Arabidopsis thaliana: one gene and its partners. The protein of the gene in region 1 interacts with the protein of each later gene in a biochemical or structural test. Each region holds a gene or a part of one and is shown in the gene's direction. Other genes may lie near its edges. The genes, in order: TCP8, WRKY28, SARD1 and NAC019.

Region 1 (7,354 bases):
TCCGAGAGCCATTTGGTAGAAGAGCTTCCCTTTTGGCTTGATGATCTTCTCAATGAGCAGCCGGAAAGCCCTGCTCGAAAATGTGGTCATCGGCGTTCATCAAGTGACTCTTACGCTTATCTAGATGTGGCTAATGCTACAAACATAAGTTTGACTCTCCAAAATGATTTCAGTTATAGGAATACTGTTTTATCCACTCAAAGAGGAGTCCAAGAGCTTGACCGGAATAAAAATGCTCAGGATGCTGCCTTCTACTCTGGTGCTAGTTTTCTGAAACAGAAGAGTCGTCAGCGGGATTCTTTGGTGGCAACTGGGGCTTGTCCTTCTTGGTTACCTTTCGCTCGTGAGAACGGTGGCGGAAAAAACTTGGGAGCTTTATATATGTCTCAAGATGCAACAGTAATATCGTCAGAAAGAAAGAACTATGCTGAACCTTTTTCTCATGACCCAAAGATGTTATCTTCTGAGGAAAACAACTCCAATCCTTCGCCTGTGACTTATGAAGCTGACAACACAAAACGAGCCAAACAGTTTGTGATCTCTTTACTCGTTCTTGATTGATGTACCTATTCAAAGCAATATAGAATGATCAGTACTCATTTAGTTTGCTGCTCCCTGCAGGCAATTTGCACAAAGATCACGGGTCCGTAAGCTCCAGTACATATCTGAGCTAGAAAGAAATGTACAGACATTGCAGGTAAGGCTCAAAAAAACTTGCATTCAAAGAGAGAGTAAGTGAAAGATGTAGTAGATTACAATTTGTGCAGCACTGAAGTATGGATTTTATTTTGTGACTATAGGCAGAAGGCTCCAAAGTTTCAGCTGAACTTGATTTTCTCAACCAGAGGAATCTTATTCTGAGTATGGAAAATAAAGCTCTCAAGAAGCGTCTCGAAAGTATAGCTCAGGAGAAGCTTATCAAACAATGTAAGTTTCTCGCAGTTTCTTTTAGGTTCTTAAGGTTCAAACTATAGTCTAGAGTATGAGTTTGTAAGTATTAGCTAGTTATCAAGATTCAACAGTTCTTAAGATTGTATACCTCATGAGTTCTGTCTATTATCCAGTGGAACAAGAAGTGTTGGAAAAGGAGATTGGGAGACTACGAGCGTTGTATCAGCAACAACAACAAACTCAAAAACCATCAGCCAGTCGCGGACGTGCTACTAGCAAAGATCTCGACTCTCAGTTCTCCAGTCTTTCACTGAACACCAAAGATTCCAACTGTAGGCGTGACTCTGTATCTGTGATGGGTCAATTCCACTTTTAGTAAATGTCTCTCTACCCACTGGTTCATTAGAGATCTTAAGGGCCTGGCGACTCAACAAGATCAGACCCTTATCTACCGCCTCACCACAGACGTTTTTAACTCCCCCGTCGTTTCTTTTTTTTTCTTTTCTTATGGTTGACAAGTTAACTCACCAGTGCACCTGGAAATCCTATATTACTTCCAGGAGATGGCTTGCCTGAGGTGGTTTAGTTCGAAGATCAGACACCTGGACTTCATTTATCTGGTGATTGTTGTAGCGACTTGTGTAATATATGGGACGAATATATTCGAACCCGGACTCATCTCTGGAGTTGTACTATGATACCCACTGTTGTATTTTATGTTACTTGTAAAATGGTGCATTCCCTTCGAGTGAATGCTTCATGTAAAGTTGTTGCCATTTTCTGTAGTACTATCCCCAAGCGTCAAAATATTTGATTGCCTCAGATCTGCACTTAATTTATATGCACATTTACAGCTATTTCATTGCTCTTTGTCAAGCCTCTTGAAGGGCCTATATCAACTCAATTGTTATCAGAAAGTAAACTGGTTAGCATTGTTGTCGTTTGGTTTTAGAGGAAACTGAAACGGCTACATTAGAAATGTTTTTGGTAGGCGTGGGCAAAATACCCGAACCCGAAGAACCGAACCGAACCTGACCCTAAAAACCCGATCTGAATTCAAACCCAAAATTTTAAAATACCTAATCAGATCCTAAACTACAAAACCCGAATCCGATCAAGTTTCTGAACATATCTGAAATATATATACATAAAAATAATTTATTAGTAATAATCATATTTACAACAACTATTAAGTGCATAAAATATTAGATTTTGTATATATTTTGGATATTTTACCTACTTTTCGATAGATTCGGATAGAAAATACTCAAGTTTTTTGGAATTTTTTTTGTGTATTTTCAAGTAATTTAAATATATTTTGATACAAAATTTTGAGTTTTGGATATTCCGGATGAACTCGAATCCAAACCAAAAAAACCCGATCTGAATCTGAAATCTTAAAATAACTGAACCGTAAACCCAAAAAGACCCAAATACCCCAACGCCTTACCATATTAAATTAGGAGGAAACCCGTTCATAAATAATTTTTCGGGTTTGGGCCACAACAGACCGGCCCATTTCAACCGGTTCATAAATTCTAAATACTAGAAAATTCCAAATTAGATAAGTTTTTGTCCATCCTTTCTTTGGGATTCTTGACGAGTAACGTTTGATGTCTTTCTTAATTTGGTTGAATGATCAAATTTGTGATCCAAATTCTTACAAACTGATATGTTAATGAATCTATAACCAAAATAACGTCTAAAACAAAAAGCTGTAACGATTTGAAAGTGCATTTTTTCCCAAAACTATATAACTAATTAAAGAATTTAGTGTCATTTATCTAATGGATATACTTTTAACAAAATCTTATAAAACTAAAAATATTTAAGACAAAAGTGAAATGGAGATACGGAGGTGGATTGTAATGAGCTGTCCCCACCTGCAAAAATACGCACGCTTCACTGTCTGAAAGATGCTTATCTCTCTCTTTCTAACTTTCTTAATCCACAAATCTTTTTTAAACCTTTTTTTATTGGTGCTCTAAAATTGGTAAACAATAATGTTGTGATGAAAATAATGTAATTGAAAAATAACATAACTCATATTTGGGTAGAATTTTGATAAAAAAGACTTAAAATAATTGTGAAAAGTTATTTTTCTCCCCTAATTACTTTTTGATTTATATAATAACTAATCAAAAATCAATAAACGTTTTATTTAATGTTAATGACGGCATATATATTATTTATTTTAATAATAATATCCTCTTGCTGGAAAAGTCATCCACCTGCTTTTACATCATCAAACCTTTTTTTCTCTCATCTCTCTCTCTCTCTTCTCGAGACAAAGAAGAAGACAAGAGTCAAACTTGAAGGCGACAATCGGAGCTTCCATGGCCGTTTCTTCCTCTTTCACCAAACCCTAATTTCAATTTCATCTTCTTTTCCCTTCTTTCTCACCGGAAAATGGATCTCTCCGACATCCGAAACAACAACAACGACACCGCCGCCGTCGCCACCGGAGGAGGAGCAAGACAGCTAGTTGACGCATCTCTCTCAATCGTTCCCAGATCTACACCTCCCGAAGACTCAACACTCGCAACAACCTCATCTACGGCAACGGCGACTACAACGAAGCGGTCGACTAAAGACCGTCACACGAAAGTCGACGGAAGAGGACGTCGGATTCGTATGCCGGCGCTATGTGCAGCTAGAGTTTTTCAGTTAACGAGAGAGTTAGGTCATAAATCCGATGGTGAAACTATTGAATGGCTTCTTCAACAAGCTGAGCCAGCTATTGTTGCTGCTACAGGTACAGGAACTATTCCGGCGAACTTCTCTACTTTAAGTGTTTCGTTACGAAGTAGTGGATCGACTCTCTCTGCTCCGCCGTCGAAATCGGTGCCGCTTTACGGTGCTCTTGGATTGACTCATCATCAGTATGATGAACAAGGAGGCGGCGGTGTGTTTGCTGCTCATACGTCGCCGCTTTTAGGGTTTCATCATCAGCTTCAACACCACCAGAACCAGAATCAGAATCAAGATCCGGTGGAAACTATTCCTGAAGGTGAGAATTTCTCTAGGAAACGGTATAGATCGGTTGATTTGTCTAAAGAAAACGATGATCGGAAACAGAACGAGAATAAATCTTTGAAAGAAAGTGAAACGTCGGGTCCTACGGCGGCGCCGATGTGGGCGGTTGCGCCGCCGAGTAGGTCTGGTGCTGGGAACACTTTTTGGATGCTTCCGGTACCGACAACGGCCGGTAATCAAATGGAGAGTAGTAGCAACAATAACACCGCCGCAGGCCACCGTGCTCCTCCTATGTGGCCATTTGTGAACTCTGCTGGAGGAGGAGCGGGAGGTGGAGGCGGAGCAGCGACTCACTTTATGGCGGGAACGGGGTTTAGTTTTCCGATGGATCAGTACAGAGGAAGTCCACTTCAGTTAGGTTCTTTTTTAGCTCAGCCGCAGCCGACTCAGAACTTAGGACTAAGTATGCCGGACTCGAATCTCGGGATGTTAGCCGCTTTGAACTCGGCTTATTCAAGAGGCGGAAACGCAAACGCGAATGCGGAACAAGCGAACAATGCGGTGGAGCATCAAGAGAAGCAGCAACAGAGTGATCATGATGATGATAGTAGAGAGGAGAACTCAAATAGCTCTGAGTGAGTGATGTAAACTAATCTTGTGAAATCATTGAATGTGGTAAGAAATTGATTTAAAGCGTTTGTAGCGGTTTGGTTGATTGTTTTATTGTGAGATTTTGTGTGTTGTTGTTTAGTAGTGTTTAGACAAGAACAATTTATGTGTGAAGGAATTGTTAGGTTTGGGTCCAAATGGACTCTCATGGGTAGAGAATGTTTTCAATGTATAGAAGGAATGATAGTCTTTTCGATTTTTCAGTTTTCATTGTTGAGTTTCTTATATTTTTGTAGGATAAAATTGCATTCAAACCAAAAGAATAAAAATTGCATAATTAATCGCAATTAATAAGTTCCAGTGAAAGAGTTGGTGACAGATCTCACTTCTTTTCTGTATGCTACTTTTGTTTGATTTCTTTTTCGATCGAGCAAGGTCTTCTGCAACTGTTCTTTTTTCTGGCACAAGGATTTTCAAGGCACTAGTATGTATATAATATAAGACACACTGTTCTTTACTTGGAAAAAATTGAGTTTGGATACTTACATGATAGATATTCTAATAACATGCCTAGATGGTTTAAGCAAGCTAGGTTGTATACATCTACTCATTAATGTTTATTTTCAATACTCAGTGTCACTGGGCTTCCGTTCTCTTATTAATTTCAATGGAGTGCTAAAACTAACTTTGGGGAAATAGATAGTTGTTTGGTTCAAATATTTTGTACACATGATATTATTCTAAGACAACATACACGCACTAAGTTAGTTTTCTGTTTTTGTCCTAGTCCGCGCTAACATTTTGGCTTATGTTATAACTTCCTTGGTTACAGTATTCTCCTAATTTGAGCGATAGGTTATAGTGTATATAAACAGGAATCACTGATAGAGAAAGGACGTCGTATATCTTCCCATGCTCACAAATTAGATTATCAATTAACCGAATTAGGCCGAACAAATTGTGGAAATCAATCCTGTAAAAGCTTTATTAAATAATATCTAAATAATACGAAAGCAACAATGAATTTAAAACTTGTAAAAGTTCTTCTTGTTCAGTACTAGCTTCAGCGAAAGTCTCTCAACTCTCAAGGAATGGTGATCAAACTGGGAACATAGACAGAGGATTGAAACTCACATAGCACTTGATCTATCTTAATCTTTTTGCACAAATCTCCCCTCACAATATACACCCAAGCTGCTTTAGGTCTCTTGCTAGGACAACACAGAACAAAGCTCTTCCCATGGATATCATTATCGACAAAGTAACTTGTAGAGATGTAACTAAGTAATATGGGGAAGTCAGGTCTTGAGACTGTCATGAACTTAATCCACACCACATCGTCTCCATCATCCCCGTTACCAATTTGATCCTTTGTCACCCAAATCTCAATCTCCCTTGTTTTTTTGGATTGTTCTAACACTGAAAACCGATCTCCCTTGTAAATCGAGAGGATACGAGTATGTGTAGTACTTTTTTCCCCCTTACACGGTAAAACACAAAAGGTCTTTCGACTCTTTTCTATCTCTTTCGAAAAATCGAGCATTGCGATGAAATACTGACCAGTGTGGGGAGAATTATAAGCTGTCCAGTACAAATTTCCATTCAGGGAGACCCTACCGGAGTCGTCCATTAATTCTGGCTTTTCGTGAAAACGGGTATGATCAGTAACCTTCCACGCATTGGTTGCAAATTCGAAGACTGAATATGTATCAGTAACTTTACCCTGCCAAGAACAACTACTCCTTCCGATAATCTTGTAACTCTTTTCGGGTCTACTACCATCGTAACCAATGGCCTTGCCACATGTATTCTCAGCCTTGGCAATCCATTTAGTCTGTCTCCAAAACAACGGGTTCCAAACAACGCCTCCGCCTCCATTAAGAAAGCTATACATGAAGAAGTTACCATCGCAGATCCCATACAGATGATAACCGCGGCAACTTAAATGATCAAAGCGTAAATCACGCACCTTTATAGTTGGATTTTCGTCTTTGAGATCGACGCTTATCGAATAAATATGTGAATGTGTATTTAACATGATTTCTGGCCGACCGCAAGCAAAGTTTTTGTTGATGAATCTCTTATTCTTGAAAAGAGTGTTCCATTCTCTGCAAACGGATCTGAAGCGAACGAGAGATCGAGGTGGAACTCGAAAGAGTATCTCTTCTTCCAGATCTAATGGAAGCTTTTTCGACACCATTAGGGTTTTCTTTTTTTTGGTTGGAACCATTAGGGTTTTCTTTGAAAATGAAGCAATGGAAGAAAATATATTTACATAGATAGAGTAACAATTATTTCATTTTCGTAATATGTTATATAAAGAATATTTGAGAATAATATATAATTGGCTCGTCTACCAAACGGCCGGCCAATTTAAACCGCAAGGTAAGGTTCCGTTATTTGCTTCCTATATTTGAAGCCCTCTACTCGTGTCTCGTGATTCCTAATAGACATACAATTATAATCCATAACTAATGATGTCATATATATGTTCTTTTAGCGATGAGCTTAATTACTAAATCGAATTTGGTTGTTTAGACTTTAGAGTATATATAAGGAACGATGTGGAATTCTCTTGGGGTTAAGATGCAAATTGCTCGTGTCTTGTAGTATTCACTGTTGATTGTGTAATTAAACAATAAATTTATACTAAAGGATTTAGACAAATTCACTTTTCTCTTAGCTCGCGAATGATCAAAAGAAAAGAACAAGGTTACTTGGGTAAAAAGTTAGGGTTTGCTCTGTAAAGAGTGATCTCTTGTATAAGGTTAAAGATGGTCGTAATGGAGGATAAAACTCCTCTATTTATACAATAAACTGGTCATGTCAAAATATGATAAACTTCTAATTATCTAAGACCTAAATCTTCATTACTTCT
Region 2 (7,418 bases), on another chromosome or scaffold:
CTCAAGGTATATAAATTTGGTTGGATAAGGTTTGATCCAAATTTGTTGGTCCAGTATGCAAATAAAACTGTAACTTTCAAGTTCCAATCTAAAATATGTAAATTCGAATTTCTTATCAACAGTTTTAAAAGAGTTTTACTGATACATCATCAGCTTTTTCATATTAGTTCTTTTCCAGTTAAAGAGAATTTCAATTCGCATTGTAATGTAATCGACCATGTATAGTTACTCAACATATTGATGTCCTAATATCAATACCAATTAATGAAAAATTTAGTCTTTTCGGTTATTTGTTTTTAAATGCATTTTCTTATTCTTGATAATCTATACACAAATATCATATATATTAAATTAATCAGCTGTAACAACTCAAATTTCAGAAAGAGGATAACGTGTGTGAAAGAACAGAAAATACAAGAGATTCCTTTTTATTCATATATATTTTATATATACTAACATGAATAATAATGATAAAAATGTCACACATGACAAACCTAACAACAAACCTGCCCCAACTATTCTATTCCAAAGCTAAAGTCAACAATTTCACTCTCTTTCTTTTTATTCTTCTTTACGTTAAATTGAAACTTAAATAATGTAATAATTATGTGTTTACTAGAAAGTAGAAATAAATTTCATAATAATATCTTTATATGTTAGGCACAAATCCCCAAAAATAGGTCAGACATTTCAACTGCAGACAGATACAGTTATGTATACGTGTAATTGTAAGCTAATGTTTTTTTTTCACTTACAGGTTACAAATTACATAGAGGTCCACGGTCTAACTTTGGGTAATTTAAATGTGGGGCTTATGGATAAGACAACGCAAACGATTAGGCACCAATTACGGCGTTTAGTTTCTGCCTAAATTAAAACTATAAATGTGTATTAATATATATCTTAGTATGCATTAATGTGGTTAGGTACGAGAAACAGATTCATATACCACCATTATGGCATTATTATAGTATGCAATAGAAGATTGAATATATATTTGACTTCGAAGATTGAATTTTTTTTGGTTTAGAGATTATTCTATTACTCATATGGAATCTGATAAGAGTTGCTGTTTCTCTTTCCCAAATTAAAGTATGTATACGCCTTGATGTTCTTGGTCAAATGTGAATGGTTAATGTCTCTTTTGGTTCAAAGAGAATTATTCGGTCTTCTTAATTATTTCGACCAAAGATTACTAGATTGGTATTGATTTTCTCGAAAACGTTTTTCATCGTAGTTTGTTTTGACCAAAAAGCGTTAAAAACATGGAAATTATTATGCCCTTCTTTCATTGATCAAATTTTTATATACCAAAGCCATAGTATTTTGATTCATTCCAATATTTTATACTGAGTATCACTGAGACACTGACTATATATATGTATGTATTCTCGCGCTATCCGTAATATGCTAGGTAATATAGCAGTGATTATTAAACGCATTAAGATCATCATACGTAATTCACGATAATTTGTAATCCAAAAACTTAGGTGTGACCAAAAAAAAAAAAAGAGTTGAATCCTTCACCTACCAAAAAAATGGATTGTGACCAAAAGACCATGACATATCAAATTTTTAGTGATTAAACCGATTTCTTCCAAGATGCTAGTATTTGTTTTTATCTTGCCATATTTTAGTGATTTTTCATAGTAGTAAATATATCACTTTGACCACATTTAAAGTTGATGTATGTCCCCTTCGCATTTGTCATGTCGGTTAGGCATTATATGTCTCCTTTTTTCCTGATCATATGCTCCTATCAATTTCTACAAACTCATGAAAACGATTACTAGCTATATAAATCAAGCATAGGGTTCATAACATGCAACTTTAATTCCCCACAATTATCGCAAATAAAATTGTATATAAAGGGTTTATCGTAATTATCATAATGTTAACATTTTCATAATATAGATACTTTTGGTTTGACCATCTTTTCCTTAATATAAGTTAATAAATTAAGATGCTCTTTTACTTGCAAACAGAAAGTTCTAATGTGAAAAAGAAATTGTTATTGCGTAATCATGATCTCACTTATCCGTCAGCATAAGTAACGATCCACTCCACATAGCTACGTCACTTAAAGTCCCATAGTAACTAATTTTCTTTGAATGTTATAGCAAATTATTAGCAATGTATGATTCTTTGGGTCAAATCTTACACTAAAAACATGAAAATAATTTGAATATCAAGAGATTCATATATTCATATTTTATAACCAAAATATGTAGGGTCTAAATTATTGCTTCTTGACTAGGAATTACCTATGAATAATTATTAAGGTTCGTGAAACAGTGAGGGAAAAAGAAGAAGAAGAAGAGAAGACAGTCTCTAGCACGTGCCAGGTCATGTGTCGGCGACGGTCAAATGCCGGTGCAAGTGTTTCCACGTGGCAGCCTAATACTCCCAAAATATAATCTTTTGTTTTCGTAAACTTTTTTCCCTTTGAATCTTTGACTGCCTCTTACTGCATTCTTCACACCAAACGACCGGCCGGTGACTGAGTGTTTCCGGTTTCCGGTAACACATAGTCTTCGCTGACTAAGACTCCTTCAATAACGTCGTCTTCTTCCACGCGCCGTTTAGTCGTAGCGCGTGTTATCAAGCCCGTCCACTATATATGCCACGTATAGAGTGGGGAAGAAAATGAAGGTGAGAACTTTTCATGTCCTACTTTTTGGCCCCATAAAAAAGGCAGCACACAAAAATAACCCAAAATTTATGCATGTTTATCAAATGTGGAAAAATAAAAGTAGAATTTTAGGAAATTTATACGAAGATACAATGCAAAGACTCGAAGAAATGTATTTAGTGGTATAGAAATACTTGCAAGTAAGCATATTCTGAATTAAAAATATAGAAGCTTAAGTATGTTTCCTCACTAGAAGCCAGTTTTGCAGCTCTATTTTTGTCAACTTAGCTTTACGTAAAGTTCTTATTGCCCGAAACCAAAAAGTCATTCAAAAGGCATAACATGATATCACAAATAAAATTATCATCTACTTCTATATCTTATTTCTTGAATATATATATATATATATATACCTATCTATTAAGTTGCTTATCGTTCACATTATTAATTTATAATTAACTTTATGTACATTTGACTGATAAACATTAAAAAGACTTATTTGAACCTTTTTGTATATGAATTCAAAATTATACTGATAAAATAACGTGAGGAAGAAATATTATGAAAGCTTTTAACATATAAATTAATTTGCATAGGAAAAAATTACACAACTTAAATTGAGATTAGTTAAGAAACAAGAAAAAACAAAGTTGATAGAAAAATAAAAGTATTAACACGACTTTGGATTCACACACGTACCATTGAATTATATCTCAATACACTTTTACTTAATTAACTTATTTCCAAACCAAGTAGCCAAAATCATATTATTCTTCTCTCTCTTCCTTTTTTGAGTTTCAAAATGCATAAATACGAGAACGAGAGACGAAGACCAAATTAAAGTCCAAGCACCAATCTAGACCTCTTAGGAAAAAAACCTAAAAACCTAATCCCCAAACCTAAAAGGCTTATCTCATCTCTTCTTCTTTGTCTTCTTTACTCTTTTTTTACCTCTCTCTTCATTGTTCTTCACCATGTCTAATGAAACCAGAGATCTCTACAACTACCAATACCCTTCATCGTTTTCGTTGCACGAAATGATGAATCTGCCTACTTCAAATCCATCTTCTTATGGAAACCTCCCATCACAAAACGGTTTTAATCCATCTACTTATTCCTTCACCGATTGTCTCCAAAGTTCTCCAGCAGCGTATGAATCTCTACTTCAGAAAACTTTTGGTCTTTCTCCCTCTTCCTCAGAGGTTTTCAATTCTTCGATCGATCAAGAACCGAACCGTGATGTTACTAATGACGTAATCAATGGTGGTGCATGCAACGAGACTGAAACTAGGGTTTCTCCTTCTAATTCTTCCTCTAGTGAGGCTGATCACCCCGGTGAAGATTCCGGTAAGAGCCGGAGGAAACGAGAGTTAGTCGGTGAAGAAGATCAAATTTCCAAAAAAGTGTAAGTCATAACTCTATAGGAACTTTTATGCAAAACATTGAACATCATTTGATCTCTTCGTTTAGGAATTTAGTCTAGCATGTGTATTAATTTTATAGTGTATTATTTTTCAGTGGGAAAACGAAAAAGACTGAGGTGAAGAAACAAAGAGAGCCACGAGTCTCGTTTATGACTAAAAGTGAAGTTGATCATCTTGAAGATGGTTATAGATGGAGAAAATACGGCCAAAAGGCTGTAAAAAATAGCCCTTATCCAAGGTAACTAAACTTTCCCTTTTTATTTTTTGAAATTGCTAGGCTTGTGAAAATTTGTGTTTAGAAAAATGCGACCATTATAGTGTAACTGATAATAGCCAATGGAAACGAAAATAGGAGTTACTATAGATGTACAACACAAAAGTGCAACGTGAAGAAACGAGTGGAGAGATCGTTCCAAGATCCAACGGTTGTGATTACAACTTACGAGGGTCAACACAACCACCCGATTCCGACTAATCTTCGAGGAAGTTCTGCCGCGGCTGCTATGTTCTCCGCAGACCTCATGACTCCAAGAAGCTTTGCACATGATATGTTTAGGACGGCAGCTTATACTAACGGCGGTTCTGTGGCGGCGGCTTTGGATTATGGATATGGACAAAGTGGTTATGGTAGTGTGAATTCAAACCCTAGTTCTCACCAAGTGTATCATCAAGGGGGTGAGTATGAGCTCTTGAGGGAGATTTTTCCTTCAATTTTCTTTAAGCAAGAGCCTTGATCGATCATTGTTATAACTACATATATTATATATATTGAGAGAGAGAGGTAGAGAAAAAAAAAACTTATATGTAACTTAAGATCTTATTTTGTCTCTCTTATTTGCATGTACATATTTTTTCATGAAAGAATGAGACAGTTGGGCTTGCTTATATATTTGATGATGTTTAATGTGTTACCGTTGGATACATATTTTCGCTTCCATTTTGTGAAATTATATTTTCTTCTTTTGGTTAGTTTTTTACATTATGATATTATGCTGTGTAATTTGTACTATCATATGTAGAAGCGAAAAAGACATAACTCTAGCTAGGAGCCTACGATTGATCTCCCAAATGTTGATTATAATATATACATATGCTTTTGGGAAACTTAAGTATTAAATTGACAAGTTCAAATGGTCAACTTCTTACTGATTTATATCTTAATAATCAAAAATTACAAAAAAAAGTTACAAGCTCATATGTGATGAAGAAATTAGAATCGGAAATTTAATGTAAGGGTGTTGATATAAAAGGTTCAAGTTGTAGACGACGAATATCTATGTGTGTGAACAAGTAAAGAAAAAACAAAACAAGTTGAGATCTAACCTTGTGTCCTAAGAGAATGGACCCGAATAAAAGATTTGACTGCTTCTGCTTTCTATCTTATCCACACACACATGGAAACATAGACTGTGGACCAATAATATTACCCCTACCATCAAAACTGAAAACAATGTTTTAATTCAAAAAACGAAAAATAAAAAGAAAATACTAAACAATAATAAAATTATATATCAAATCTCAGATTTATAAAGAGTGAATGAATTACAAAAAAAATTTGAAGGAACGAGAAGGATGCGAAGAAGAACCTTAGAAAAAGATCTCTTTATATATTAACTTGTAAATGTGTTTGTGCAAATGAAAGTATAGGCAACAAAGTAATAGTGGATTCTCTATATATAAGTATTTTATGAGGAACAAGAGGACCAAATTTCTGAATTAATAAGCAATACTATTATTTGGGAGCGCATTTGTGTCATATACCAAAGTCATTGAATTTAGCTGAAACTTGAAATCATGAGATGAACGAGTCATGAGATCATAGAACATGTGGATTTCTGAAATTTCAACATGCGCGCTCCAATGTAACTTCAGTTTCCTATTTGAAAACTATTCTTAAATTTTGAAATTCAACTGATATGTCCAATCTCGAATCTTTTCATTATCAATTATCATACTCAATTTGTATTAAATCACTTCAAATACAGTAGTTTTTTTTTTTTTAGTTTAAAGACGTTTCTTAAAGGTTTTAAATGTTATGACACATTCACAATTATCATCACTGGTAAAATTTGCATTGGAGTGTTCTTGGAAAACATTCTTTCAATATAGTCATAAAATTACGTTTGACATATAATTCTTACAAACCTAAGGTATATTCGCAAAAATGTTATAGCAACTTTGAGAAAACATATTAAATATATACATAAATCCTTTCTATGTTCTAGATTTTGACTAAATATGTACATGTTTTGACTGAAGAATGATTTGGCCTACACAGATAACTATTAAAATGATCATATACCAAGTCAAATCATATATTGAATCATACGGGAAATCCATTTGACACAAATCTGTATTAGATGGAACATTTATTTTAGTATTTTCATATTATTTTGCTTATAAAAAGAAATCTCGGTGATAATGATTTTGGTTTTGTTTTCGGGGTCGTTATCAAATTCACCTAACAAAAACAAAAAAGGAAGCCAGAATGTTAGAAAGAGAAGCAAAGTTATAAAAGATCTTCCGGGAGAATCAAGTAATTGCCAAACCCCCTAGTCCCTAGACAACTACAATCATATGACAAACATTATATTATTTTAGAAAATACATACAAAAGCTCCGTTTTTAAATTGAAAAATAAGCTTATATCTAAAGAAAGATCAATTTATTACGTCAATTTTAAGAAGAATTTTAAGCATATTCTAATGGTGGAATATCATCTTTCAAATACTTCCCAAACACCAAATCTAGGCATCGAAACCGTTGTGGACGTGTAGATATCATTTGTAATCTATTGCCAATGACCGATTGATTGTATCATCATCAAAATGAAAAATGCGTGGATATTGTAAAAATAAAAATTTTAGTTGACAAACTCATGTCATGCGACATAACTCATTGGGTCAGGCAAAATACTACATTCGAATCCAAATCTGGCAATTATAGCTAGCACTATTCCTTGTATCAAACCGGTAATAAAGCTAGAGGTAAAGTTGGCAAACATAGATAGTTTATAAACAACTATGCTTTCGGATATCATTGGTCTTCTTTTTGACTTACATTCATATTATATAATGTTGTTGCAAGTATATGATATGTTTCGAATGAAAAGAAAAAAAGTTTCGAATGACCAATCTTCTCTTCTCGATCAATAATTGGATTTTGCTGGTAAATGAATTATTTACTATATATCTTCTTTGATACGTCTCTTCTTATTTAAATGACATAAAACAAATACAATAATCCAAATTTTAGGCACGTCAACATTATTAACTCTTAAGTGGACATAAATAATCTCACTCTTGACGGTCTTTCAAAGGTATTGTATTAGCATGAAATTCTATATTAATTCTTAACATTTA
Region 3 (10,187 bases), 6.2 Mb from region 1:
ATTTTAGTTACAAGTCTTGTCCTTTTCTTTCCGATGAAATTTACTCTACATATTTATGGGAAGTGACATTAGCAGGATTGAATTAGTCCATTTTAACAAATCTTCTTCATCCATATACATATGTATTTAATTACGATCTCTTAAGAGAGGCCCATTTCCGTTTTAACAAAATCTTCTTCATCCCTGATAGTGAGAATTTCAATTTCAATGTCGCCGATCATGTCGACGGTAAATCCCTGCATCTTTCTTCAAGACGCTTCTCATAGTTCCCTATTTTCTCGCCATTTTATGATGAATGATTTCATATAGTCACCTAGATCTCTTTGAAAAACCTTTTTTTAAGACCTCGTATGAATCTGATAGACTTTATAGATCTTCGTACATGAATCCGATAGACATAGATCATTGTTTTAATTTTGAACAGTAGATTTTGTTCTCTCTTTGTGCAACATCACAAAATTTAAGTTTGAACCCTAGAAAATTTAGGAAGCTATATTTGTTAATAGTGGTTAGTTATCATACATGTATTATTGAATTAATAAAGTTAGAGAGATTAATACAAATAATAAAGGAAAGTGGTATAACTTGCAATATATAAAATTCCTAAATACAAGGAATCTTTAATACTTTTGCAACACTAAACACAAATTGCTAGACTGCATATTATGAGCAACCTAGTTTCTATAATTTTTCTTTTATAGTAATATACTTTTCTCATTGTTTGACGAATACTTTTTTGGGAACTGTGAATTTTTATATGTTTTTCTTAAAATTTATAGATTTATAATAAAATTTTAAAACATTAAACTATATATTTTACTATATTTATTATATATAATTTATCTATATATTAAACCATATTGTTTTGCCTATGACATCATTTTTTTGCACGGCTCTGTATTTAAGTGATGTTAATTAGAGAATGTCAGTTATATGATTGGCTCGTTGAGAGTGGTCAGATTGCTATGAAAATTTCGAAATTTCGTTTTGCGGCTCTAAAGATCGGCTTACTGTCAGCGTCACTATTTCATATGAAAGTCCTCATGGTGGGTTTTTATAGGTGGATAAGACTTTCATGTTTTCTAAATAAATTTTATTTTGTAAATATATAGAGTTACCAAAATATATGATTTGACAGCTTATTAGTTTTTACGGTTTGTTTTTCGTTGTTTGATTAGGTGATTCGTTGTTCACTTACGTGACTAATATGATTGTTTATTGATAAGATTTGGAGATGACTCGAGCTCATATAAACTAAGCCATTGATGTCGAAAAACTGTTTAAAAAATTTAGTCGCTAATGTATACTCACGCGGCTGTATTGTCCCGTACGCGGCCACTTTTATTTTGTATTGAAGTACTAACTTACGTTTTAAAAATTAGACTGAAACTCAAACTAAAATCTGTTTTGTCCCGTACGCGGCCATTTTTATTTTGTATTAATGTTCTAAATTACATTTTAAAAATTAGACTCAAACTCCAACTAAAATCTCCAGCCAGCATATATATATAGAATGTTGCTTAGTCAATAGTAACAAAATAATTGCAAATGTAAAGGCTGCTTCCAAGAAAAAAAAGGCAGTCCTATATCTTTTAACTTGATATCTTACAAAGTTATAAAATGGATTACTCACATCATAGTCTTTGAAAAACTAAAATTATTATGAAAAGGTACATATTAACACACCCAAAAATAAAAAAAAATAAACGTTCTTGAGTTGGCAACCCCTAAAAGTGGATGGCAATTCAGAAATGGGCTTTTAATGTTTAGATTCCATAAAAAGTGAATAGATGGTTCTTATTCTGTGTATGTGAGATATCAATATCATCGTGACAAAGACTATGTGACAATTACCATACAATTTATCATGGAGGCAAAGCATTACAATTATAATGCTACCAAAAATATTTTGAAGTTAAAACAAAAAAAACTTATTAAAGTTAATTAAAAGCAAGATTTTCGACAGAGACTAAACAGAGTCGATTGAAGCTAAAAGCACGACAAGTTTTGAGAGGATGATTGAGATTTGTAACTCACCCGACAAGAAATTACCCGAAAAGGACAAACCAATTCAATGAACCTTCGTCGAAATCATTCACTTGACCCTTTATATAGTATAGTTTATATTAACACATAAGAACTTGGATAATTTTAGTTTCCTTTAACGCATGACATTTCTATATTAAATAAAAACTATTGTTGTTTTTTGTTCTCCTGCTTAACTTAAAATGACAGCTATTAAATTATCAGGATATTTTTGGAAACCGATGTAAACCGAAAAAAGGTTATTATAAGACTTTCTTTCCTTCTTTCTTATTTGCTTAAAAGATATATAGTTCAATTTTTTGTTTTCTTGCTTAAAGAAAAGATAGTTCAATAAAATTGTATCTATATAAAAGGGATTGCTAAATAGACATACACCGTATTTATCGGACGAGACCAAGAAGTTCAGGTTATTGCAAACTTTGCCTTTTTGACATAAACTTTAGAAAACAAATCTGAACCTGTCTTTTTCTCTGATTTTCATAATTTTTACTAATTAGGTTAGAGAGGAACAAACATGAATCCGAATTATATAGACAATCAATTTTTCATAATTAAGTATGTTGATATGATGATATCAATAGTGTTAATATTCTTACAAGATAAAGAAAGGAACAAAAATTCTTCGAAGAACGGACCGGATCGATCGTATACTCGTAGTGCTCTCTCTACAAGAAGTAATCATGTGGCATATGGATCACGCTTTATACTAGCAGTTAGATCTAAAACCCAATCGGGTGGGAAGATCGGAACCGTCCATTTGTCAACAAAGGAAGCTTTCTAAATTGGAGTTGACGTCAAAAGTCTCCCTATTTATGACGCCATAAATAGATTATTCGCGTGGATCAGACTTCGGACTTCTTTGGATATTGCCAGGTTGTTTCCTTTGTCGTTCTTCGAACTTTCTTTATTTTTTTTTATTTTTTTTTGGTTTTTGTGAGACTAAAGACTAAAACTATATAAATATCATCGCCGTATAAGATTATGTCAAAACATTACAAAACCTAGTTTTGATCTAAGCGCTCTCTCTCTAACTCTCCCTCTCTTTCTCTCACAACTCACCAGAACAATTCCATGGCAGGGAAGAGGTTATTTCAAGATCTTGATTCTGACCAAGAAAATAAGTCCGAGAAACGGATTAAATCTGTACTACCATCCCTTGCCTCGTAATTTTTCTCAGAAACTTTTCATTCTTTTTTTCTTGTATTGTGTTTATGATGAATCATTTCTACAAATCTTAAGTTTTGTTTGGAACATGTTCAGTGTTCAATCCTCTTTTTTTCTTACACATCTTATCCTTAAAATCTAAATATAAATATATGCTTGTATTTTATGTATATGTTCTATTCACTCTCTCTCTTATCCTTAAAATAATATCTCCTTTAGATCTTACTACTCTTGGATTTTATTTTCTATTCACCTTTTTCTGATAAATTTTTGTTATATTTTTTGTTTCTTGCAGGCCAATTTCCAGTGTGTTTGGAGCATTGATCTCAGAAAACACCCTTCGTTCTGTCCTAGAGCCCGTTATTAGAAAAGTTGTAAGTATACTATAATAATTCCACTTCTATTTTGTTATTTCTAAATACTTGTTCTAACTTCTAATTAATGTAGTGGATATATATATATATATATATATACATGGATATTTCAAATGAACGAGTTGAGAATTAGAATTTCATACTTACCATGTTTAATCAACTACACATACTTAAAGTAACAAGTGTAATTTAACATACAAATATACTAGTCTAGCATTGACGATGTCTAGTGTGCGAATTGGAACTTGATAAAATAAGAAAATTTCGATCATGTTGCTAATACTATATACATTTTAGGTAACAAACATATGCATGTACATGCATAGTTGCATTCTTATATCATATATATACACATACGTTATTAAGATAGTACTAAATATTTACAAAGTTATAAATCTTTTTAGTATTATTAATAAACAAGACCTCTCTAACCTAACATTTCAATCAACTATATCTAGAAATAAAAGACAAAATAATGGTCCACACACGTACACACACACATATATGCTAGTACCTTTTAAAAGATCTATATATTGGCCTACATATTTAATTTATTAGTATGTATTGTTTAATTTGTGTAATAAGGATATCAAATTATTTGTTAATATAAAACAGATAAGAGTGTTTTATAACTCTACTCGTTTTGGTAACGTGACCAGGTAAGACAAGAAGTGGAATATGGAATTAGTAAACGATTTCGATTATCTCGGTCATCGTCTTTCCGTATCGAAGCTCCGGAGGCGACTACTCCGACACTGAAGCTAATTTTCCGTAAGAACTTAATGACACCAATATTTACAGGGAGTAAAATCAGTGACGTGGACAACAATCCACTTGAGATTATCCTTGTTGATGACTCAAACAAGCCGGTGAATCTCAACCGTCCAATCAAACTAGACATCGTTGCTCTTCACGGAGATTTTCCTTCGGGTGATAAATGGACTAGTGATGAGTTTGAGAGTAACATCATCAAAGAAAGAGATGGGAAACGGCCGTTACTTGCCGGAGAAGTAAGTGTGACGGTGAGAAACGGCGTTGCAACAATCGGAGAAATTGTGTTCACAGACAATTCGAGTTGGATTCGTAGCCGTAAGTTTAGAATCGGTGCGAAAGTTGCGAAAGGGAGTAGCGGTCAAGGCGTTGTGGTTTGTGAAGCGATGACTGAAGCGATTGTTGTTAGAGATCATCGTGGAGAATGTAAGTTTATTTTTCTTTATTACTAAATATTTTACCTAATTAGAAATTAATGAATATATAACAAATAAATCTATGCATCATATATAATGAGTTTTGTGCATATATTCATTAAGCAGTACTCCACTAGGGGATGTGATAGTAACATATCACTAGTTTCAATTATCTTTGACCTGACCACATTTGGCATCTTCTTATGGATTACCCTACTATCAATCATACATAACCTTTAAGATAATCATTTATACAACACATGTGCATCAGAAATCCATTAAAATGATGTTTTGTTTTCGTCAAAATTTATTTGCATAATTTCGTTTTCAAATTTATTAACATATCAATCTATATTGATGCTTTTGGCTTTATCTTCTTAAAAAGAATCTTAGTTTTTCTAATTAAACACTAGTATAGAAATATAAAATTTTTTGGGTATTACAAAATTGTTGTATCTTGTCATGATATGTTTTGGGCTTTTGGCTACAAATATTAACTATACTTGCTTTAATTTGTCTTAATATATATACACATTCAATTTTTAATTCTTAATTAGAAAAAAACTACTAAAAGTATTTTCGATGTGGACCGTATGCAAACGACTATCCCACTTTATACAAGAGCCTATAAGTCTTTGGTCAATCAATGCTTATATCGTATTAATTAATACTCTGTATATTTTCCGAATCTTATAACAATCAACAAACACATGCATAAAGCGAATACATATAAAGAAGATACATAGTAGAAAACTAGATATAATTCTAAATAGTTTTGTTTTGTACAACTTGGGGTTGGTGAAGTGTACAAGAAACATCACCCACCAATGTTAGAAGACGAAGTGTGGCGGCTAGAGAAGATAGGCAAAGATGGGGCCTTTCACAAGAAGCTCTCCTCTCGCCACATCAACACTGTCCAAGACTTTTTGAAACTATCCGTCGTTGACGTCGACGAACTCCGTCAGGTTTAAATTCTTAGCTTATTTGACCCCTAAATTTTTATTATTATTAGAGAACTAATAGGAATAGGGGTTTGTTGATGTACAGATTCTGGGGCCTGGAATGTCTGATAGAAAGTGGGAAGTAACATTGAAACATGCTAGAGAGTGTATTTTGGGAAATAAGTTATACATTTCTAGAGGACCGAATTTTTTCATGATTTTGAATCCGATATGCGAAGTTATGAAAGCACTTATCGATGGTCATGTTCTCTCTAGTCAAGAATCCCTCAACCAGGTATTGAATGGTCATTTTCTCTCTATTAAAGAAGTTAAGCAATTATTGATAGCTCAATGATTGTTTATTAGTTAGAAACTGTATTTATTTTTTTAATTCATCTATGGTAATGTTTTGTTGCAGCCCTACGTTAAGAACTTAGTTCGAGATGCTTACTCAAAGGGGAACTTTTTAGAAGTGGGCGAACGAACAGCGAACGAGGCTGCTCTTTTGACACAAGGTATTACTTTAAAATAGTGTCAACATAAACACCATTTCAGTTTTTCTATAATTGCGAAACATCGTTGATTATATAGTATGTTACAACAATGTAATTTTGATTATATAGGTGATGATTTGGACCAACAATATGCTGCGAGCCACTACCAAAACATCGAAATCGATAAATCATATCAACAAAACGGATATGTTCAAGAGAGATCTACAAACAATTTGGAGATAGTAAACGAAGGGTATATAACGACTCCAGCGGAATTCAATATATGTTTCACCGGATCTTCGTCTCAAAATCATATAAACCCTTTCTAAATCCTCATCTACGTTAGTATTGGAAGACACGCCATAGTGCCTTGGCCGAGATTGGACTCTTTCTAAATAAGGGTTTAAACTTTAAACTACTACTACGTACATGATGGTAAAACATGTATTCTAGATCTGCTGATCATGATTGTACATAAAAGTGTGAAGTTTAGAGTTATATTTTTAGTTGGATGGTATACCACTTGTTCACGTTTTCACAGTTGTATGAAAACGTTGTTTTTACCATTCACGTTCAACAAATTTTTACGTTTTTACGTTTTAGAAAAATTGATTCCGCTGTATATGTACGTACTTGATGAAAGTATTGACTAAAAAAAGAAATCAAGAATATGAGGGTAACTTTGTGATTTACTTAAAGAAAGCCTCTCAAAAGGATTGAGTGGGGATGACTCAAATACTTATTACCAATTTGTCTCTGAAACTCTCTATTCAATTACCTTACCAACCCTAATTTACACATCAATAGCATAATGAAATTGAAACTTAGAAAACAAGCATGAATGATACTATTTGATTAGGCATCTTCTTAATCAACCGTAGTTGTTGTTGTAGCAGAATCCCTACGAAGCTCCTTGACGAGAGTAGCGAGAGCCTCAGGGTTAAGACCAATATCGCAAAGAGCTATAAGAACAGACAAAGTATGTCGATCAAGACCTGTCTCCAAGATGTTCGACATCCGAAACACCAGCTCCAGTGACTCTCTCGCTGTTTCAGCTGCTTCCTGATTCATAATACTCTGAAACCACCAAACATCATCCAGAACAAAAAAATATCAATTTCGGAAACGATTCAATTTACATATGAATATCTACTCTATTCTTGTACGGATCTCCATGGATGTACAGAGAATGGAAACCCTTAAAGTGGAAATCGGAGACTTGCCGACGGATCAAGAGATACATTAGATCGGAAAAAGGTTAAGGAACAAAACGAACCGATTAATCGACGGAGAAAACGAACGGCGTCGAGTTTGAGAGAGAAGAAGTGAGATCTTAGAGCTTGAGATAATTGAGAGAAACGATTCTCGATCTCGTGATCGAAGAAGAAGAGGCGAAAATGGGCCAACAATTAGAATTTAGAAATCTAGGGTTGTTTTTTTTAAGAAAATAAACCTTTGGCCGGTTCAGAGTATATTTACTGGTTCATATCAAATCGGTCGGTTAAATAAAATCCGCCGGTTTTAATACAATCGAAGTCTCTGAACTAGTTTTAATCAAGGGATTCTTTTTTGTCGGAATCAAGGGATTCAAGACCTTGTTATGATTAATTCGGCCAAAATTGACAAAATTGCATCCAAATTTAGAGACTTATTTTGTAGTGATATCCTTGAAATTGGAACTTTTAACTTTTAAGTAGCTTATGTTAGTCGAATTATCCGAAATTTCTTAAAAACATATCAATGTGAATATGTGATGATCAAGATTTATTCCTTGACGACAAACACATTAATGGAAAGCCAAACTCAAAAGTAAGAAACTTGAAGTAGAAAAACCATCGATGATGAGCGAACAGAACAGAACACCTTTTTTGGTCTTGAAAGCAAGAAACAGAACATCGAAAACTAGAACGAAATACTGGGACTAGCATTTCGGATACGGACAATGACAATCAGTGGCGATTATTTTGGCGTTTGGGGAGTTAAGGAAAGATTTGAAGTTAGGGTTCTTCAAGTACTGGCAGATACAATGCTGTTGCTCCTTCACCTTGCTGCAACACAGATCCGATGGCTCAGACCCTTTCATTATGGTCTCCAAGCATGGACTCAGCTGCGCAGGATTACATGGATCTACTGCAGCGACTCTGTTTTCTTGGGCAACAATTAAAATGAGAAGGATTGTACAAGTGAAAAACACTGGTTTTGTGCAAGAACCCTTCATTGTCTCACTAAGTTATAGAAAGAAGAAGAAGATATTTGGTTTGGAGTTTAAAGTGGGTTTCTCTCGTTCTATTTATAGAAGAAAATGTCTTTGAGTGAGTCACGTTACTCAAACGAGAGTTTGTGGTTGCAGGAGATCTCGATATGTCTAAAAGAGATTAACTTTTTTCTAAAAGGCTCGGACAAAGCATAAAAACACCTAGGCACCATTTTGGAGAAGTTATGAAACCACGTGTAACCAAAATAGATGTCAGCTTTCGGCTACCCCCAGTGAAGGTATATGAATTTGTTGACACTTAAACAAAGTAATGAGAACACCTTCATAATTATATATTTTACTTCATTACTATTGTACTAAGCACAAAATATGACTTAAATTTCTAATTATATTCAAAAGGCAGAACTTACAGCCAACATGGACCAAAAACTGATCTGTTTCCATTCACTAGGCAGTTGCTTCCTTTCAAAATCTTCAATGTAGTGCATAAGTCTGTGGCCCAAAACCAAGACCAATTAGAGTTCATTGATCACAATGTTAAACATATATCAGGCCATGAAAGAATAAAAGAAGATAAGCTGCAGTATATATTAAGTTTACTCAGACACTTTTCTAGAATCCATATTCTCCATGTGGTATCAGCCACCAAGGTTTTCATACTTAGCACATAATGAATAGGATAAACAAAGCCCAAGACACATGATTAAGCAAGCAATCACACGCTTAAAGATTAAATAGTCTCTAACAAGCACAGTGTTAGAAAATCTCTAAAGTACTAAATAATTTGTATATCCATTTAATCAAGTTATACAAGTAGAAAATGCAAAATGTGACAAAAAAATAAGAGACTGTAAAATACAGAAGAAAATGTTCTCTTTGCGAGTACCGTATGGTGCGAAATCCAAAACTTACCATGTGTTAATCACTTTCAGAGTAAGAATAAGACGAGCGATTAGCTTTCAGGGCATCAGTCTTAATATTGACATCAGACAAGCCAACATCATTGAAACCATCAAACTCTACATCGGAATCAGACGAATCACCATCTCTCAAGTCATCACTCTCAATATCTGAATCAGACGAATCACCATGGCCATCACTCTCAATATCAGAGTCAATATCGTCAACCTTATGTGCATCGTTAACTGGATACTTACGCACCACATCCATCACTTCATCATCACTATCATCGTGCTTCCCTGATAACTTCCTAATCATCAATGCCTCAAATAAATCAGGTATAGCATCCTCATTTCCATCATCCAAAAAGCTTTGAATTCTTTTTTTCAGCTCTGAAATACCAATTGGATTAAGAAAGTAAGCAAAATTATAATCTTTACATGAAAAATTATGAGCTGATCAGCTAACTCTGTCATTGCAAAATTCTCTTCCTTTTCATTCAAAACTGTACATTTTCTTGAGAACCAAACAAAAGAAGTTGAGTTGAAGAAATGTCACCTTCTTTAGAAAGAACCTCTTCAGTTCTGAAACCACGCGACGAGTCGGACTCGGAAGAGAAGAAGACGAACCGGGAAATAGCTCGTTCGAAGAGAGGAACAACAACACGAGGGTTGTTGATTCTCAAATGGCGGAAATTTGCGGGTGAGTGAAGGATATTTCGAGCCAGTAAACTGGGAACTCTCTGCAGAAATCGTCTCATGGGATTCGCCTCAAGACTAGGGTTTATCAGAGGATTAGGGATTTGAATCAAGAGCCAATAGTTTTTTTTTTTAATCTGTTAACAGATTAACCGCTCTTCTTCGTTT
Region 4 (7,050 bases), 1.8 Mb from region 1:
CATAGACCTTTTTAACAGGTGCATGGGTAATTTGAATAGTCAAACATGGTTCCTATTGAAATACCTATATTTTATATAATAAAGTTTAAATATACACATAAATAAATAATTAATGGTTATAACTTATAACTATATTAAATAAATAAAAACACTGTCCACATTAAACATATGTCCAATACAACTTTTAAACAAAATCTAAACATAGTTTGAGATGACCCTAAACAAATACATTATGATATCCATATATTCTCAACGAGTAAAATAGTAAATGATGAGTGTTAATGTCAAGAGCTTGTTTCGTGGGCTTAAAAAGAAAAAGAGCTTGTATTGTGGGGGTTGGCAAACGTATTTTTGCGTCGATATCTAGTCTCACTTGTGAAAATTTAATGTGTCTAAAGTGGGTTTGGGCTTAAAAAAAAACCCATCATATTTAACATTGTTCTTCAAGCAGTATGGGGAGTCAAAAAAACCAACTCAACACAAATCAAATCGAACAGTTCCACCGAATTTGATATTTTTTTAAAGTTCACATTCACACCTTTAAATAGAAGCTGGTGATACATTTCCTAAGGAAGTGATTACCAGAATATCCCACTCACTTTTTTCTTTGTTTTAAGTTCCGAGAATAGTCTTCAACTATTATTATCAAGTAATGTTTAACTTTCTATTATTTAAAAATAAACTAAAATTTTTTAGCATCTACTTACTGATAAACGTAGTCACCAGTCATATTAGTTCTTTGATAGAAACGTACTTTAGTGTTTTGAGACGAGATTTTTTTTCGAAGGACCACTATATTATTTGTTTCGAGTTTAAAATATTTTCTAACTAATGCTAGAGAGTAGTCAAGCCAATCCAAAGTAAGTTATCTTTCAAAACTCTGCTTAATTTGTTTATTAACTAAATCAGATTCTGTAAACTTTTTTGTACCATGGTGGATTTAAATTTCAGCTGATAATTTTAAATGTTACGGAAAAAAATTCTGGATCAGTTTTAAATAATAAAAGAAAAAAAAATACGAATACATTTAACAAATATATGTCATCGAGTAAGATAACCTAAACTTTCGGATACACACACGTGTAAAAACAAAAGTACTTTGTTCAAATTCCAAGAAATTATTAACTGGAGAAAAACAAAACAAAGGATAGCGAAAATGTTATAGATAAGGCAAATTAAAAACCAATCTTTGACTACCCATTCGTTGTCATTTGATTAAATGATAAAATATAAATCATTGATTTAAAATGAGAGATAGAGGTAAAACAAAATATAGAAAAGTAGCATCAAATGGCTGTTAGCACGAAAACTATTGAGTGAAAGAAACCCTAAATCTTTAAGTTCCACTATAGAATTAGATAACGATCATAATATAGTGATATATTTGATATCTCGTCTCTGTGACTCCGTCTAATCTTTTGAAATGATGTCCTCTTCCTCACTTCACTTCATCAAAAAAAAAAATGTCATATATATGTATGCTTAAACTTTCATAAAAAATTTAATGATTTCAGTAAAATGTTCTAGGGTTAGATTATATTATAATATAAATTTCAAGAAAAATTCATTCGTAAATTTTTTTCATTTATGAAATACCACAACTGCATGAAAACTAATCAATGGATAAATACAGACAAAAAAAATTACATCAATACGTGATCTTATAAAACAAAATCTGAATATATGTATAGGGTCTATAGCTAATTTCAATTTCGATTATATTATATGCAAACTTGATGTGGATTACTTATTTTTCGGTTAAGATGTTTTATCTATGGTGGATTTACATAAAACTCAACAAATAATTTTGCTAAGTCCTTAAATTAGTTAGACATATTGGTGAAACCGACACTAAAAATGTAGATAAAAATATTAATTTATACATTATCCAACAAGGATTTTATCCAAATCGTGGTATCTATGTGATCTAATGGTTATAAGTGGAATTTAGGTGTTCTAAACATGCTCAATTAGTCAATTATATACTTCACTTTCCAACTCAAAACAGCATATTCCGAGCGAACAATATGGATTTTTATACTATAACACCCAATTTCTAAATTAAACAAAAATTGCGACCATTATATATGGTTCTATCTTTTAAAAACCATGGAACTAAATGATGAAACTATGAAGTTTTTTTTTCACAAAAAAAAAAAAGAAACTATGAAGTTTTTTACCCTATATTTTTTTTAAAAAAGATACTATGAAGCTTTGAAGCAGCTACTACGAGTTGTGTTTGTTAATGTTTCTGAAAACAAAAATAAATTGAAAAAATCTTTAGTCAACATCAACTCGTGTTTTTTCTCTTCTCCCATCGTTATAACGTCTTTTTGACAAATGACAAATTGCGCCTAACTTCTACGATAGACACGTGGACACGTGTCGTCATGATGTAGTTTTGTCCGTATGGAAAACGCTTTCCATGTTGTAACCTAAGATACATTGAACAGTTCCTTTGTCCTTTCAACTTCGCTTTTTTCGAAGCTCTTTCCCTTACCCTACCACAACATTACGCGTGTCCTTCTTATTACAACATTTGGCACATATACATTTCAGAAAACCCGTCAACAAAAAACACGTGAAATAAAATATCTCTTCCTTTACCAGTTCACATATTTCATGGTTACTGTTCAATCATTTCGCCAAAAAATCTTTTTTTTTTTGGGTACAAATTTGGCCAAATAATTGTTCCTTTATTCTGAAATTCAGTCCCCTACACGAATATATAGACCACCAAAAAGTACATGGACGGTTCAATGTTGATTAAATCGACCAAGATAAAGTCAATAATGTTTTGTGGTTTAGATGTCGTCTGGTTACTATATTGACAATAAACTTTGTAAATAAAAAATATCCTTAAAAAAAAAAAAAAAATCCTAAAAGGAAAATCGAAAATCATTTTTTTAATTTGTTTTACATTACTTAAATAATTAAATAGACAATCCTAGGAAAAAAATCTCGATTAAATTAAATATTATATGTGAACTCCAAATGTCTAAGCAGCAAATTTCCAAACATTCATTTGAATCTTATTTTGATTGGAAAATACTTTTAAATTTAGCGGAACATTATTGATAAATAGATGAATAAACAAATGTTAATAAAAAAAACCATTTAAAAAAAATAGTACGAGGAAGAGCTAAATCTACTCATGTAGGTTCAATGAACTCAAGGGATTGCATAAATCACGACGATCTAACTGACACACGTGTCAGAATTCAAAAGTGTTTATAGATAAACACAAAAATGGGTCCCATATTCAGTACACACGTTAATCAGCGGCGGTGGATTCACCTATACACTGCGTCCATATATAAGTAGCACGAGACCCAAACATTATTGTCAAAAATAAGAAAGAAAGAAAAAAATATGGGTATCCAAGAAACTGACCCGTTAACGCAATTGAGTTTACCACCGGGTTTCCGATTTTACCCGACCGATGAAGAGCTTATGGTTCAATATCTCTGTAGAAAAGCAGCTGGTTACGATTTCTCTCTTCAGCTCATCGCCGAAATAGATCTTTACAAATTCGATCCATGGGTTTTACCAAGTAAGTATATACTAATTGAAACCCTTCTCAAAAAATGTTTATTTTTCTTAACAGAGATTCATAATTTTCTTGGTTTTTCTTCTTTTGTGATTTATAGATAAAGCATTATTTGGAGAAAAAGAATGGTATTTTTTTAGTCCTAGGGATAGAAAATATCCAAACGGGTCAAGACCTAACCGGGTTGCCGGATCGGGTTATTGGAAAGCTACGGGTACGGATAAAATAATCTCGACGGAAGGACAAAGAGTTGGTATTAAAAAAGCTTTGGTGTTTTACATCGGAAAAGCTCCTAAAGGTACTAAAACCAATTGGATCATGCATGAGTATCGTCTCATTGAACCTTCTCGTAGAAACGGAAGCACTAAGGTAACAAATAAAATCTAAACATTAATAAATACTATATCTTATATTTTCTTCTTGTAGTGTTTTGAATGACCTATAATTAATATTCTTGTTAATTTTCTTTAGTTGGATGATTGGGTTCTATGTCGAATATACAAGAAGCAATCAAGTGCACAAAAACAAGTTTACGATAATGGAATCGCGAATGCTAGAGAATTCAGCAACAACGGTACTTCGTCCACGACGTCGTCTTCTTCTCACTTTGAAGACGTTCTTGATTCGTTTCATCAAGAGATCGACAACAGAAATTTCCAGTTTTCTAACCCAAACCGCATCTCGTCGCTCAGACCGGACTTAACCGAACAGAAAACCGGGTTCCACGGTCTTGCGGATACTTCTAACTTCGATTGGGCTAGTTTTGCCGGTAATGTTGAGCATAATAACTCGGTACCGGAACTCGGAATGAGTCATGTTGTTCCTAATCTCGAGTACAACTGTGGCTACCTGAAGACGGAGGAGGAAGTCGAGAGCAGTCACGGGTTTAATAACTCGGGCGAGTTAGCTCAAAAGGGTTATGGTGTTGACTCGTTTGGGTATTCGGGGCAAGTTGGTGGGTTTGGGTTTATGTGATGATGAAATGCTGACGCAATAAAAATAAGTCGTTAATTTTTGTCCCGTGGCAAATCTTATATGTATTTGAATTTCAATTCTTTTGGGTTAAGAGGGAGACTCATAGATTTAGATGTAGATTTGTAATCTTTCATGCATAGAAAATTTGACGAATAGATTTCGTAACTTTATTTTGTTGCTGTTTGGTTATCTTTGTATTGGTATAAATTTAGTGGATTGAAATTGCATATTGATATATTGTTTAGTTGTGGCTAGCTATACATGTAAGTTTAATTGTTTGAGCTATCCAAAAGAATATATTTAACTATCTCATGCATTTTTAATATAAGCATACGTTATGTAATCATAAACCTACATACAAATCTTTTCTGTTTACGAATATATAGTAACACACCACAAATTGAGAGACTTACTGTATATACTGTATTTGAAAAAGGAGCGTTGGGTTAGCTGAACTTAGGTGTGTAACGTGGGCTTGCTTGTTTGACCATCTTGACAAGAGATTGTAGAGAAACAGTTTATACCGTACAAGTTTCAAACACATGTTTATTGTGGGTCGACTAAATGCGTTTGCAATTAGGGTATGAATGATAAGAGTAAAACACGGAATACTCGATTTTTTAACTGTACCTAGGAAAATCCGACCTAATAGTTTAAATTTAATTTCTGACATGAATCATGTAAAAGTTTAAGAACATCTCTAATAAAGAGTTTTCAAAACATTAAAATAACGAAATAAAGAATTGAAAGTACCAAAAATAACCATTTAGTTCAAAAGAGGATGAGAATACTCAAAAAGGGTTTTAAACTATTCGAGATGTTCTTATTTTGATTTAGAGTGCGCGTTAACACAATCTCTAGTACACATTAGCCACATTGTTACTGAATATATGTGGTTCGCTGATCATACAATATAATTCTATCTCCTTCCTTTTTCTGTATCCTCCATGACCATTACTGCTTTTCAGAAGCTTTGACCATCCTTTGAGATATGTCTATTTTCTGATATTTACCAAATAACAAAGTGGATCGTCTTGACGAAAGCCCAAAAATTAATTATCTCTGTTTTTTTCTCCTCTAATAAACTAGTCTTCTTCCGTCGAGTCATGCACTCATACTGATAATATCATTATTTGAGTGTGGGAAATCTTCGGGAGGAGAAACTCATATTTGTCTTTCCTTAGACCTTGTTGATTTTGTTGATGTGAGAGGTAAACGACACCCGGAAAATGGTCGAATGAACGGATTTTTTTACAAACATCTACATGACCTTCACTTGGTTCGTTCTCTATTAGTCGAATAACATGACATACATGCATCATAATTAAAAACACACAACAATTGTATTTATTTTGTATTTACAAGTTCCATTAAAAATTTAGATACTCAGATTTGTGGAATGTAAAATTCCAATAGCAAACTAGTGTATTGATTGGCCCATGGGCCAAATGCCCAAATATTAATTTTCCATCTATTTGGTCATTACTCAAAAAAACCTCTAATTAAGGTGTAACTCAGAAGAAGGAATATATAATTGCATTCTTTAAAAAAAAAATCATCTAACTAAGGTTAAGAGTTATAAATTTGAATAAAAAGACATTCAATACAGAAACGTGGAGGTTCGTAGTCACATATTGTCGCCAAATAAAAAAAGACAGTACATACAGTTTTTGTGAATTTACTAATCAAATATAGAACTTGTGTCGGGTTTTAAGCGGATCATGTTTTATAATTATAGAATTGTAATGTGTTATTGGTTATATTATATAAATTTCCGTTATACCTAGCTATAAAAATTAGATATAATCTTAATATTCTTTTCTAGACTTCATGTCTAGCTAAAATTTTAAACTGAAGAATAATCCTTACACGATTTATAATTTGAAATGGAGGAAGCATAAATACAAACAAAAATGTTTCCAAATATAAATTTAACAACAACAACACACACAAAAAGGGTTTTGGCTTTAAATACACGAGGGGTTTGTATTTATTAATAAATTGTGGCTAGACTTCAAAGCAAACGCAATATCTTAAATCATAACAATGACATTTGTGATTAGAATAAAAATACATTTAACCGAGACATAAATTTTTATTTGTTTGGTGGTATTTGCACATGCGTGATCTACGAGTGGTTCGAAAAGCTCACTAATTATAGATGACAAAGCAGATAATTAAGGAGCGGTCCTTAATCACTTTCCTAAACAAGCTTTAAAACAAGGCTCGATTAGTAAAAGCAAACGACTACAAGAATCCAGCCTTTTTTTTTTTACGGAAAATATTTAATTAACTCTGGACATAATTACTGTAACTTGCTATACTCAATACATACGCATGACGTCACAATGTACGTGTTAAAAAATTAATTGTTTTCTGGTAGAATTCATTTCGAGGACACACTTTTTAAATGTTTATTTTTTTCTGTTACATTTTTCTTAATAAAATTCTAAGTTAAATTATTCCACAATTTATTTATTTTTGTCAAACAATTATTCCATAATTTCTACGGAAATTAATCTACG

The links.
Region 2: the proteins of TCP8 (region 1) and WRKY28 form a complex in vitro, tested with the Arabidopsis thaliana proteins (one study listed by BioGRID).
Region 3: the proteins of TCP8 (region 1) and SARD1 form a complex in vitro, tested with the Arabidopsis thaliana proteins (one study listed by BioGRID).
Region 4: the proteins of TCP8 (region 1) and NAC019 form a complex in vitro, tested with the Arabidopsis thaliana proteins (one study listed by BioGRID).

The regions. Positions count from the first base shown.
Region 1 is NC_003070.9:21,509,832-21,517,185, reverse strand, and holds TCP8 (TCP family transcription factor), read left to right. Parts: upstream 1-2,996; 5' UTR 2,997-3,300; coding exon 3,301-4,506; 3' UTR 4,507-4,854; downstream 4,855-7,354. Other genes in the region: AT1G58110 (Basic-leucine zipper (bZIP) transcription factor family protein), read left to right, coding at 1-530, 622-697, 801-927, 1,065-1,267; AT1G58090 (F-box and associated interaction domains-containing protein), read right to left, coding at 5,561-6,676. UniProt on the Arabidopsis thaliana protein: Can specifically bind site II elements in the promoter region of PP438/PNM1.
Region 2 is NC_003075.7:10,057,902-10,065,319, forward strand, and holds WRKY28 (WRKY DNA-binding protein 28), read left to right. Parts: upstream 1-3,312; 5' UTR 3,313-3,606; coding exon 3,607-4,037; intron 4,038-4,150; coding exon 4,151-4,294; intron 4,295-4,408; coding exon 4,409-4,790; 3' UTR 4,791-4,992; downstream 4,993-7,418. UniProt on the Arabidopsis thaliana protein: Transcription factor. Interacts specifically with the W box (5'-(T)TGAC[CT]-3'), a frequently occurring elicitor-responsive cis-acting element.
Region 3 is NC_003070.9:27,742,109-27,752,295, reverse strand, and holds SARD1 (Calmodulin binding protein-like protein), read left to right. Parts: upstream 1-3,047; 5' UTR 3,048-3,117; coding exon 3,118-3,209; intron 3,210-3,505; coding exon 3,506-3,584; intron 3,585-4,243; coding exon 4,244-4,781; intron 4,782-5,575; coding exon 5,576-5,736; intron 5,737-5,818; coding exon 5,819-6,007; intron 6,008-6,130; coding exon 6,131-6,227; intron 6,228-6,335; coding exon 6,336-6,535; 3' UTR 6,536-7,073; coding exon of another isoform or gene 7,074-7,277; 3' UTR 7,278-7,506; downstream 7,507-10,187. Other genes in the region: GIP2 (mitotic-spindle organizing 1B-like protein (DUF3743)), read right to left, coding at 7,074-7,277; AT1G73780 (Bifunctional inhibitor/lipid-transfer protein/seed storage 2S albumin superfamily protein), read right to left, coding at 8,128-8,424; AT1G73770 (coiled-coil protein), read right to left, coding at 9,340-9,713, 9,880-10,081. UniProt on the Arabidopsis thaliana protein: Transcription activator that binds DNA in a sequence-specific manner, 5'-GAAATTTTGG-3', to promote the expression of target genes. Recruited to the promoter of ICS1 and other defense-related genes (e.g. PR1 and SID2) in response to both biotic (e.g.
Region 4 is NC_003070.9:19,694,767-19,701,816, reverse strand, and holds NAC019 (NAC domain containing protein 19), read left to right. Parts: upstream 1-3,334; 5' UTR 3,335-3,372; coding exon 3,373-3,553; intron 3,554-3,650; coding exon 3,651-3,919; intron 3,920-4,021; coding exon 4,022-4,525; 3' UTR 4,526-4,894; downstream 4,895-7,050. UniProt on the Arabidopsis thaliana protein: Transcription factors that bind specifically to the 5'-CATGTG-3' motif.